Linked DNA regions of Caenorhabditis elegans. The protein of the gene in region 1 interacts with the protein of each later gene in a pairwise test. Each region holds a gene or a part of one and is shown in the gene's direction. Other genes may lie near its edges. The genes, in order: ZK632.10 and lap-1.

Region 1 (3,488 bases):
ATTTTGATTTCATCACTTGTGATTACTATAACATCATCATCATCTTCATTAGCGAACTTTTTATGTTTCGGAGTTGATTTGGCTCTTCGTTTCTCCGCTTTTTCACTTTTCTTGAATATTTTCAGCAATTCATCTTGATAAACTGAGCAAAATACATCTCTTGGTGGAATCTTGAAGTCTTCACGCTATAAAAATGTAATTTCTAAAGTGACAACATATTTGTTCTTACATCATTTAGAGAAGATTGTTCTCCATTGAATCCTGGATACCATACAATTTTCGATGTATCTAATTCAGGAGGCTTCACTGACATTTCATCATCTTCTTTGGATGTCGAGTCGAAGAATTTCAATTGATCGGTGGATTTGATTGATCTGAAATTAATAACAATATTAAATTGCATAAATTTACCATTTTCATACTTTCTCAACCAGCCTGGCGGATATCCATCGATTAACCCAAGTCTTCTCATTCGATAAATGTGCTCCGGAATATCATTCCCACGCAATCCAAGAGCGGCTCTTAATCTATCGCTGATCACACCAGGTTTGAAATGTTTCTCTCTTTGTTTTGATATTCCAACGTCATTATAGAAAACTCTTTGCCTTCCATCACCAGATTCCCTCTTTTTCCTTGAAATTCGTCTGAAATCTTTCCGCTGAGTACAATCTCTCAGGTTGTGTTCGCCATCACAATTGAAACAAGACTGAAACAAATTCCTAGTTTAAGAAGCTTTGTGAATGAATAAAAGCTTACTATTTTCTTTCTAATGTTATTCTCCTTCTTCACAGTTACTGGGGTCGAAACGCTTCCGAGAAGAGTGCATTCAAGGCGTTTACGCCACTCGCTCGACCTGCAATGAATTTTTATTGGAAAAGTCATTGAATTAACTATATATTTTTTTACCCTATATCTTCTCCACTTTTTTCTACATCTTCTGCATTCAATTTTCTTTGTGGAGTGATGGTGCGATCAATGACGAACTTCTGAAAAACAAAAAAAATCAACTGAAGTGAATATTGTGAAGGTTACCTCAAACTCTGTTTCCGTTCCTTTCATTGTTTCGCTTTTTTCTATAAGCCCAGAAGAAGTTCTTTTTCTAAAAAGGAAAATATCAAAAAATTCGATTATTTTCCAAAAAGAAACCTTTTTCCATTGAAAGAAGTACTCGGCTGCTTCCGCTTCAACGAAACTGGTTGAATTTCTTCAATAATCTCAATATCGGACATTATCTGAAAATATTTTATGAGAAATTATGAAACTAAATATTTTAATAATAATTTTAGTGACAAAAATAAAAGTTAATTGCGAAATTTCCAATCAACGCATGTTTTTTGTTTGTGGGTACGGTACACATGTACGCAAACACCGAATCTGTATGCAGGTTCTGTGAACATTCACCGTAACTTGTTTACATGTTTGTTTTTCAAACTTTATTCTTTTTTATCAAAAGAAAATCAGGTTTTCGCATTATTTTCTCTTGAAAATTGCTACATTGATTGAAGATTAAAAATAATATTTCTAAAATTAAATTGTTTTCACAACATATTTAGCTTTACAATTTACTGTCTGAAATAAACAATTACAACCCATACTAAAAACAATTTTCACAGTATTTCTACTTCTTCTTCTGCATTTTCTTCAAATGAATGATTCTGACACGTCAACTTTTATATTAAAAAATTCCTTAGGCACCAAGCACCACATTTCATGCTTCTCTGTATTAGAGCACGAGAGTTCTGAAGAGAGAGCAGACACACAGCGATAGCCAACGAGCGAGGTGTTGTCTTGTGATTCTAACCACAATCGCGTTCGTCGATTGCGCAATTTTTTGATTCATCGTCAATCGATAAACCTTCCGTGTTGCTGGAAGTGATGACTTTATAGTTTAATTTAATCACCGAAATCTCACACTTTTTTAATCTATCTTCAATACTTGCAATTCTCCCAATAATCTCTGTTTTTCAGCTCAAGTCTCGTCGAAACGAAAACGAAATGTGCCAGATTCTTCTCGCCATCCTTGCAATTTTCCTTCCGGTGAGTTCTTCAGTCTGAAACCATTCTTCAACCACTATTTTCCAGCCAATCGCTGTGCTTCTGGATGTTGGATGCAACTGTGACCTCCTCATCAACATTCTTCTCACCTGTCTCGGGATCATCCCAGGAATCATTCACGCGTGGTACATCATCCTTTGCAAGGAGAAGACTGTCGTTCAGAACATATACGTGCAGACTGTAAGTGGATAGTTGGAAAAAAGATTAGCCAAAAGGAAAAAGATAGTGATTTGTCAAATTTCAGAACAACAGATACCCTTGAATCTTGATAAAATGGTGACTTTTTTTTTGAAATTTATTACAAGGGGGTCGGTTTCTTGTCCATGATTCATCCTACTGTTTCCTTTGTTGTCTTTCTACAAAGCTTAATAAATGTTTAAATTAAAATTATTTCAGAATGACCACGGAACCGCTCCACCAGCTTATTCTCCTTATTCGGCTTAAATGCTCACGACAAGACACGTTCCTACTTTGCGCTCCACGACATAAATGTATTTCTTTATCCTTTGTAAACCTTTAATTCACCCCTTGCAATTTTGACTTATTGTCACAGGTCCATGATCAAAAACTGTATCACTTGCCGAATTTTCTCATTCTAAGGCCTTAATGAGATTGTGTTCATTCCCTCCATTGAAAAAATAAATCATTCCTCTTTTCGATATACATTGTTTTATTTATCACCATTTTATGATCTATCGGTGCTTTGTTCCGATCGATTTATTTTTTTTGTCTTGTTTGTTCGTTTCTTTTTTTTCTTTCTTGCTTCTTTTTTCTTTTTGTTCTGTGCCTTCGATGACACCGCACCAATATATCTAGCAGAAACAAGTCAGCCCTCAAAATGTGCTGCTCTGCGTCTCTTTTCATTTTTACTTTTTTCGATGGTCTCCGCTCGTCTATCCATCACGTGTCTCTGGCGCCAACGCAAATGTATAAATACGAGTATTTGAATGAAACTGTCCGTCTGCTGTTGATTCGCTAAAAATATTCAGGCAGATTTCTATTCTTGAAAAAAAGCCTGAAAACGTTACTTTATTTCTCACTTTTGTAGAGCTTTTCTACAAAAACGCACTCTCATTTAGAGTTGTTTTTCATTCTCCATTGATTTTTCTCATTTTCGACCTTTTTAACATTTATTATGGCTGATAAACGCAATATAAGTCAGAATATTAAAAAAAAAAAACGAGAAAAATCAATAAAGAAATCTCTACGCCACACAAATTCCACACAAATGCGCCCTCCTTTAAACTCGTTGAAAATTTTTAACGAATTTTTCTGGTATTTCTCAATTGAAGCTTTGTTTAAATACTTTTCAGCCTTATTCCTAATCGAAAATTTCAAATTATCGATTTTAAACATTTACACTTGTAAATAGATTTGATCTTCGTCAACACTACGCGCGCCAAAATTTAGATTTGTCACTATCGTCCTTCAAA
Region 2 (5,535 bases), 1.4 Mb from region 1:
GCGGAAGTTCGTCGGGTTTGTGTGCATTGTTATTTTCTTTCCATAATGAAATTATTTTCAGCGTGGAAACGTCGCAGGGCTTGAAAATCCGAATGAAGACGATCCTGAAGAGCGAGCCAGTTTCAATGGAAATTCTACTCAGTTCATGTAATAATGTAAATTTCTTGTCGCCTGTGATTCCAACACCAAAAGTTCATCGCCATGGATAATTTATTTTTTGCTCGTTTATAATTCGAATCGAATAAAAGTTTTCATTTATCCCAGATATGTTCAGTTTTCTTGCTGAGTTTTCGGATTTTAAACCATAACTTTATACCTATTCTTTACAATGTTAAAAACATATTTTCTCAAACTCTATTGTGTTAAGATGACAGAAACAGAATCCCAGAAGCAAATAAAACTGGAAATATGCATCGATAATCTGGAATCTGCGGAAAATGCTGTTGCCGGTGGAGCTGATCGATTGGAAGTTTGCTCAGCTTTACAACTCGGAGGGCTCACTCCATCCGTCGGATTTGTGTCTATTCTGAGCTACAAGTATCCCGATATTCCACTTTATTGTATGATTCGCCAACGGGCAGGCGATTTTGTGTATAATGAAGACGAAATGGCAGCGAATATGGAAGACGTTGAATGGCTCAAAAAAGCTGGTGCCACAGGATTCGTTTTTGGAGCATTAACATCGTAAGTCGGAGAGTTTTAAATTGAATGAAACAAATAAATATATTATAATTTTATTTCCAACATGTTTAAATGAAAAAAGAAAAACATATTCTTGTTTCATTTCGAATTTTTCACCATTTTCCGCAAATAAATTCTCAATCAAGTTTATCAATAAAAATTTTACATAACATTTAAATAATTATTTTTAGGCTGACTTAATTTTTGAACAATGCGGAAAGCTTGTTTTTAAAAAACATTTAAAATGCATAGACATGCGGCAAAATTACGAAAGAAGTTTTGTAATTATAACGGTTGATTGCTCTGGATGATCCACAAAAAATTTCAATTTTCAGAGCCGGTTCATTGGATCGTACATCATGTCAATCAATAATTGAAACTGCCCGTCCACATCCTGTCACATTTCATCGAGCAATTGACGTCGCCTATGACTGGAAAACTTGTCTTGAGGACGCTATTGATGTTGGATTCAAAGCTGTTTTGACAAGTGGACAAGAGCCGTCAGCACTCGACGGAGTTTATATCATTCGAGAAATGCAAGAACTTCACAAAGGAAAGATCGATGTTCTCGCAGGTTGTGGTGTGAACAGTTCGAATGTCGCGAATCTTGTCGAATGGACTAAATGTCACTGGTATCATGCTTCAGCTTCTGTTGCCAAGAAAAATGCTCCATTGAATAAGGTGTCAATGGGAAAACAGGACAATCAGCCATCACGTGTCACTTCTTTGGAAGAAGTACGGATGTTGAAAGCGACATTGGCCCCCGTTTAATTATGTTCAATTCTTTTTCATGTCATATTCCAGTCTATATTGCATGCTTCATCATAGTTTCTAACATTTTCATTGTGTTTTGCAATTAGTTGGCTAGAATTTTTCTGTACCGAAAGTTATTTATTAATTTTAGAAGCTCACTAATCAATTAGATATTCGAAGTAGCATGTTTTTTTACTCTACGGGATTGTGAGGGTTATCAATTTATTTATGCCTAGGCAACTTTAATATAGGAGTTGATTTGAACTTAATTAAAATTTTAAATTTCGCTCCTCATTATTTCACAACCTCTCAAATTTTAGACCACGAATGTATGCAAACACGCGCCCTGAAGATTTGTTCCTTCTCTCAATTTCTCATTTTTTTGCTCTACATTTTCTCTCGCCATTTTTTATCATCCTTTTCTCGCATTTATGTTTCTCTGGTCACTCTTTCTCTACCTGCTGGAGGAACTGATAAACGGTTTATTTGAGTAATAATTTTTACACCTTTTTTCTAAAAAGAGTTTGCCTTTTTTAGTCTGAATACTATAGTTTATACTTTCCAACTTTGTTTTTTTTTAATTCAAAAGGTTTTCAAAGTTTCTAATTTCAGTGATTAGTGTCACCTAAAAATGACACAAGTCCTCGTTCGTAACGGGATTCAAGCTGTTGGAGATGGCCTGACTAGCCTAATCATTGTTGGAAAGAAGAGTGTCTTGAAAAATGTGACTTTCGAAGGAAAATTCAAAGAAGTCGCACAAAAGTTTGTTACAGGTTCGGTTTTGGTAGATTACACAAACGCGATGTTTTTTGATTTTTGTCCAAAATTACGGTACATGGTCACTTTCGTTTAAAAAAATTCATATATATCTAGAGATATCTATATACATACTAAATATTAAACATATATTAAATAAAAACACATACATTTTAACAAAGCGCGGAAGAGACTATGGAAACATACCCGTGCGGCATTTGGTTTCGGCATTTGAACAAAATGCACTTTTTCATAAATATGAAAATACGTATATGTATGAAATAGCATACGATGAGAAGCCTGACTCTTAGGCTTGTCACCAGTCAAAAAAATTTCAAAAAAAGTTTACCCCTGCTCGAGATATGCACCCAAATGCCGTATGGCGAATGCCGTATGCCGTATGCCGTATGACGTATTTTCATATTTATGAAAAAGTGCATTTTGTTCAAATGCCGAAACCAAATGCCGCACAGGTATGTATGGAAAATCATGAACCATTCAGAATAAATGAGATTTTGAAATTACAGTACTCTAAAAGACCCACACCTCCCTGTAGTTTACAAAAATGTCTCTTGTCGAGACCTGGTACCGTATGGTTGGTGTAAAGAGAACAACATTTTGCATCTGCAGATGGTTCATACTTTTCCATAATATAAAAATAATTTCAGATGGCGACTCATGGAACTCTATGATTTCTCGAATCCCCGCCTCAGGACGTCATCCTCTTCACTACGAGCTGGCTCATTTGATCACTGTCCCAGATGCCTCTTCACGTGGAAATACCCCCACTAATGCTCATTCGATATATAAGGAGTTAAAACCAATCAACTATCCTGAGGATACAAAGAATGTTCATTTTGTGCTGTTTGCTGAATATCCAGATGTTCTTTCTCACGTTGCGGCTATTGCTCGGACCTTCTGCAAGTTCTCGATGAAAACTTCAGGAATTCGTGAACTGAATGTGAATATCGATGTGGTTTGCGACAAGGTATGTGACAACTATCCTTCATTTTGATATATTGATCTGTATAGTTTTATCATCACTGATAGACAGCAGACACCATGTGCTTGCTTCTATTTGCAAAGTCAGCCTGGAGACTATTCTTTTCTGGAATTGTGTGCTGATAATGTAGAAATACGATAAGAGTTTATTGCGTAGTGTGACGAAATTAAAAAAGAGGAACTAGTAGAATCATTTGATAGCTTCTGCAAAATTCGGCGGTCTTCATGAACTTCCGTTGATAAGAAAGTTATGTGTCCTTCAAGATCTCAATCTCAAAATCCGAATTAATTGTTTTGTTTTAATTGAAAAACAAACATTCAATTTCTTTGCAGCTCACCAACGAGGATGCAGTTTTCCTTACTGATCTCTCAGAATCGGTCCGTGAAACCGCAAGACTCATCGATACTCCAGCCAATATCCTGACTACTGATGCTCTTGTTGATGAAGCAGTCAAAGTTGGAAATGCGACTGGATCAAAAATAACAGTGATCCGTGGGGAAGAACTGTTGAAGGCTGGATTTGGCGGAATCTATCACGTCGGAAAAGCTGGTCCAACACCACCTGCGTTTGTTGTCTTGTCCCATGAGGTTCCTGGATCGACGGAGCACATTGCACTTGTCGGAAAAGGAGTTGTATACGACACTGGAGGCTTGCAAATTAAGACCAAGACTGGAATGCCAAGTATGAAAAACTTCAATTATTATTTATGAAAATGGATTTTTTCAGATATGAAAAGAGATATGGGAGGTGCCGCTGGAATGCTTGAAGCTTACTCTGCTCTTGTCAAACACGGTTTTTCACAAACTCTCCATGCTTGTCTCTGTATTGTTGAGAATAATGTCAGCCCAATTGCAAAGTATATTTAACTTCAATTCAATTTTACTTTATGATTTAATTTCCAGCAAGCCTGATGATATTATCAAAATGTTGAGTGGAAAGACCGTCGAAATCAACAATACTGACGCAGAAGGTCGTTTGATTCTTGCTGACGGAGTTTTCTATGCAAAAGAGACTCTCAAAGCAACAACTATATTCGATATGGCTACTCTGACCGGTGCACAAGCGTGGCTTTCAGGACGTCTTCACGGAGCTGCTATGACAAATGATGAACAGTTGGAGAACGAAGTTGGTCATTCATTAAAAGAATAACAATTTAATTTTTACATTCTTAGATCATCAAAGCTGGAAAGGCTTCAGGAGACTTGGTTGCCCCAATGCTTTTTGCCCCGGATCTTTTCTTTGGTGACTTGAAATCTTCTATTGCTGACATGAAAAATTCGAATCTCGGAAAAATGGATGGACCACCATCTGCAGTCGCTGGCCTCTTTATTGGTGCTCACATTGGTTTTGGCGAAGGACTACGTTGGCTTCATCTTGATATCGCTGCTCCCGCTGAAGTTGGAGATCGTGGTACAGGATATGGTCCAGCTCTTTTCTCGACTCTTCTTGGAAAGTACACTTCAGTGCCTATGCTCAAACAGTAATTGTCCCGTATTCAATGATTTCAATATACGTCATGTTTATTTCTGTGTATTATGTCTGGGTTTTTACTTATTTTATTTTTAAACTGCATATAAATGGTGAGGTAAATACATATCGAAACCTTCAAAATCACAATTAATAAGTTGATTGTCAAACATTGGAATTATTCACGATTACGAGCTGACCACACACATCCGGCTAGACAAGCACAAAGACATACGAAGAATCCAATTATGAATATGACAAGAAATACTCTGAAATTCAATCAAAAATAAGTGTTCTTGCATTTCTGAAAACTTTTTAAAAACAGTTAAACTCACACAACCCATGTCTCCAATTGTATACAACATTCATAAGGACTGTAGTCACAACAACGCCAACGATAAAACACATTATCTGCTCCACATCTTCTGGAATAACGAAGAGTTGAACAATGATCTACTCAAAATAAACAAACCCATAACCTCCATATCCACCATATCCACCGTATCCTCCAGCCATTCCACCAGCCATTCCAAGAACTGATCCAAGTATTCCACCACCACAATTACCGTATCCACCATATCCGTATGACATTGTTTTTTATTCTGAGAAAAAAAGATTTTGAAAGGAACAGTAACCTGTAAAACTAGTGGACATGGAGACGAGAGTACAAAAATAGAACATTATGTAACATTTTTCGTAAAGTTTGAAATTTAGACAGTAAATCTCGATGGGACCCAAATATTACACATTTAACAGATGCAAAATTTAGCGTAATTTGCGCTATAGGTGTACGGTACCGGTCTCAACACGAAAAATTTGTTTTAAATGCAAAAAAGGTGTGTGCCTTTGAGGAGTACTGTAATTTAAAACTTATG

The links.
Region 2: the proteins of ZK632.10 (region 1) and lap-1 interact in a two-hybrid assay, tested with the Caenorhabditis elegans proteins (one large-scale study listed by BioGRID).

Annotation. Positions count from the first base shown.
Region 1 is NC_003281.10:9,825,659-9,829,146, reverse strand, and holds ZK632.10 (UPF0057 membrane protein ZK632.10), read left to right. Parts: upstream 1-1,968; 5' UTR 1,969-1,995; coding exon 1,996-2,037; intron 2,038-2,082; coding exon 2,083-2,235; intron 2,236-2,451; coding exon 2,452-2,499; 3' UTR 2,500-2,713; downstream 2,714-3,488. Other genes in the region: ZK632.11 (uncharacterized protein), read right to left, coding at 1-185, 230-374, 423-706, 757-853, 907-986, 1,033-1,099, 1,147-1,229.
Region 2 is NC_003281.10:8,398,440-8,403,974, reverse strand, and holds lap-1 (Leucine aminopeptidase 1), read left to right. Parts: upstream 1-2,046; 5' UTR 2,047-2,065; coding exon 2,066-2,207; intron 2,208-2,858; coding exon 2,859-3,178; intron 3,179-3,525; coding exon 3,526-3,874; intron 3,875-3,919; coding exon 3,920-4,049; intron 4,050-4,095; coding exon 4,096-4,318; intron 4,319-4,365; coding exon 4,366-4,677; 3' UTR 4,678-4,783; downstream 4,784-5,535. Other genes in the region: ubxn-4 (UBX domain-containing protein 4), read left to right, coding at 1-15, 62-151; cutc-1 (Copper homeostasis protein cutC homolog), read left to right, coding at 368-684, 1,017-1,452; ZK353.2 (uncharacterized protein), read right to left, coding at 4,839-4,929, 4,996-5,085, 5,133-5,251. UniProt on the Caenorhabditis elegans protein: Probably acts as a digestive enzyme.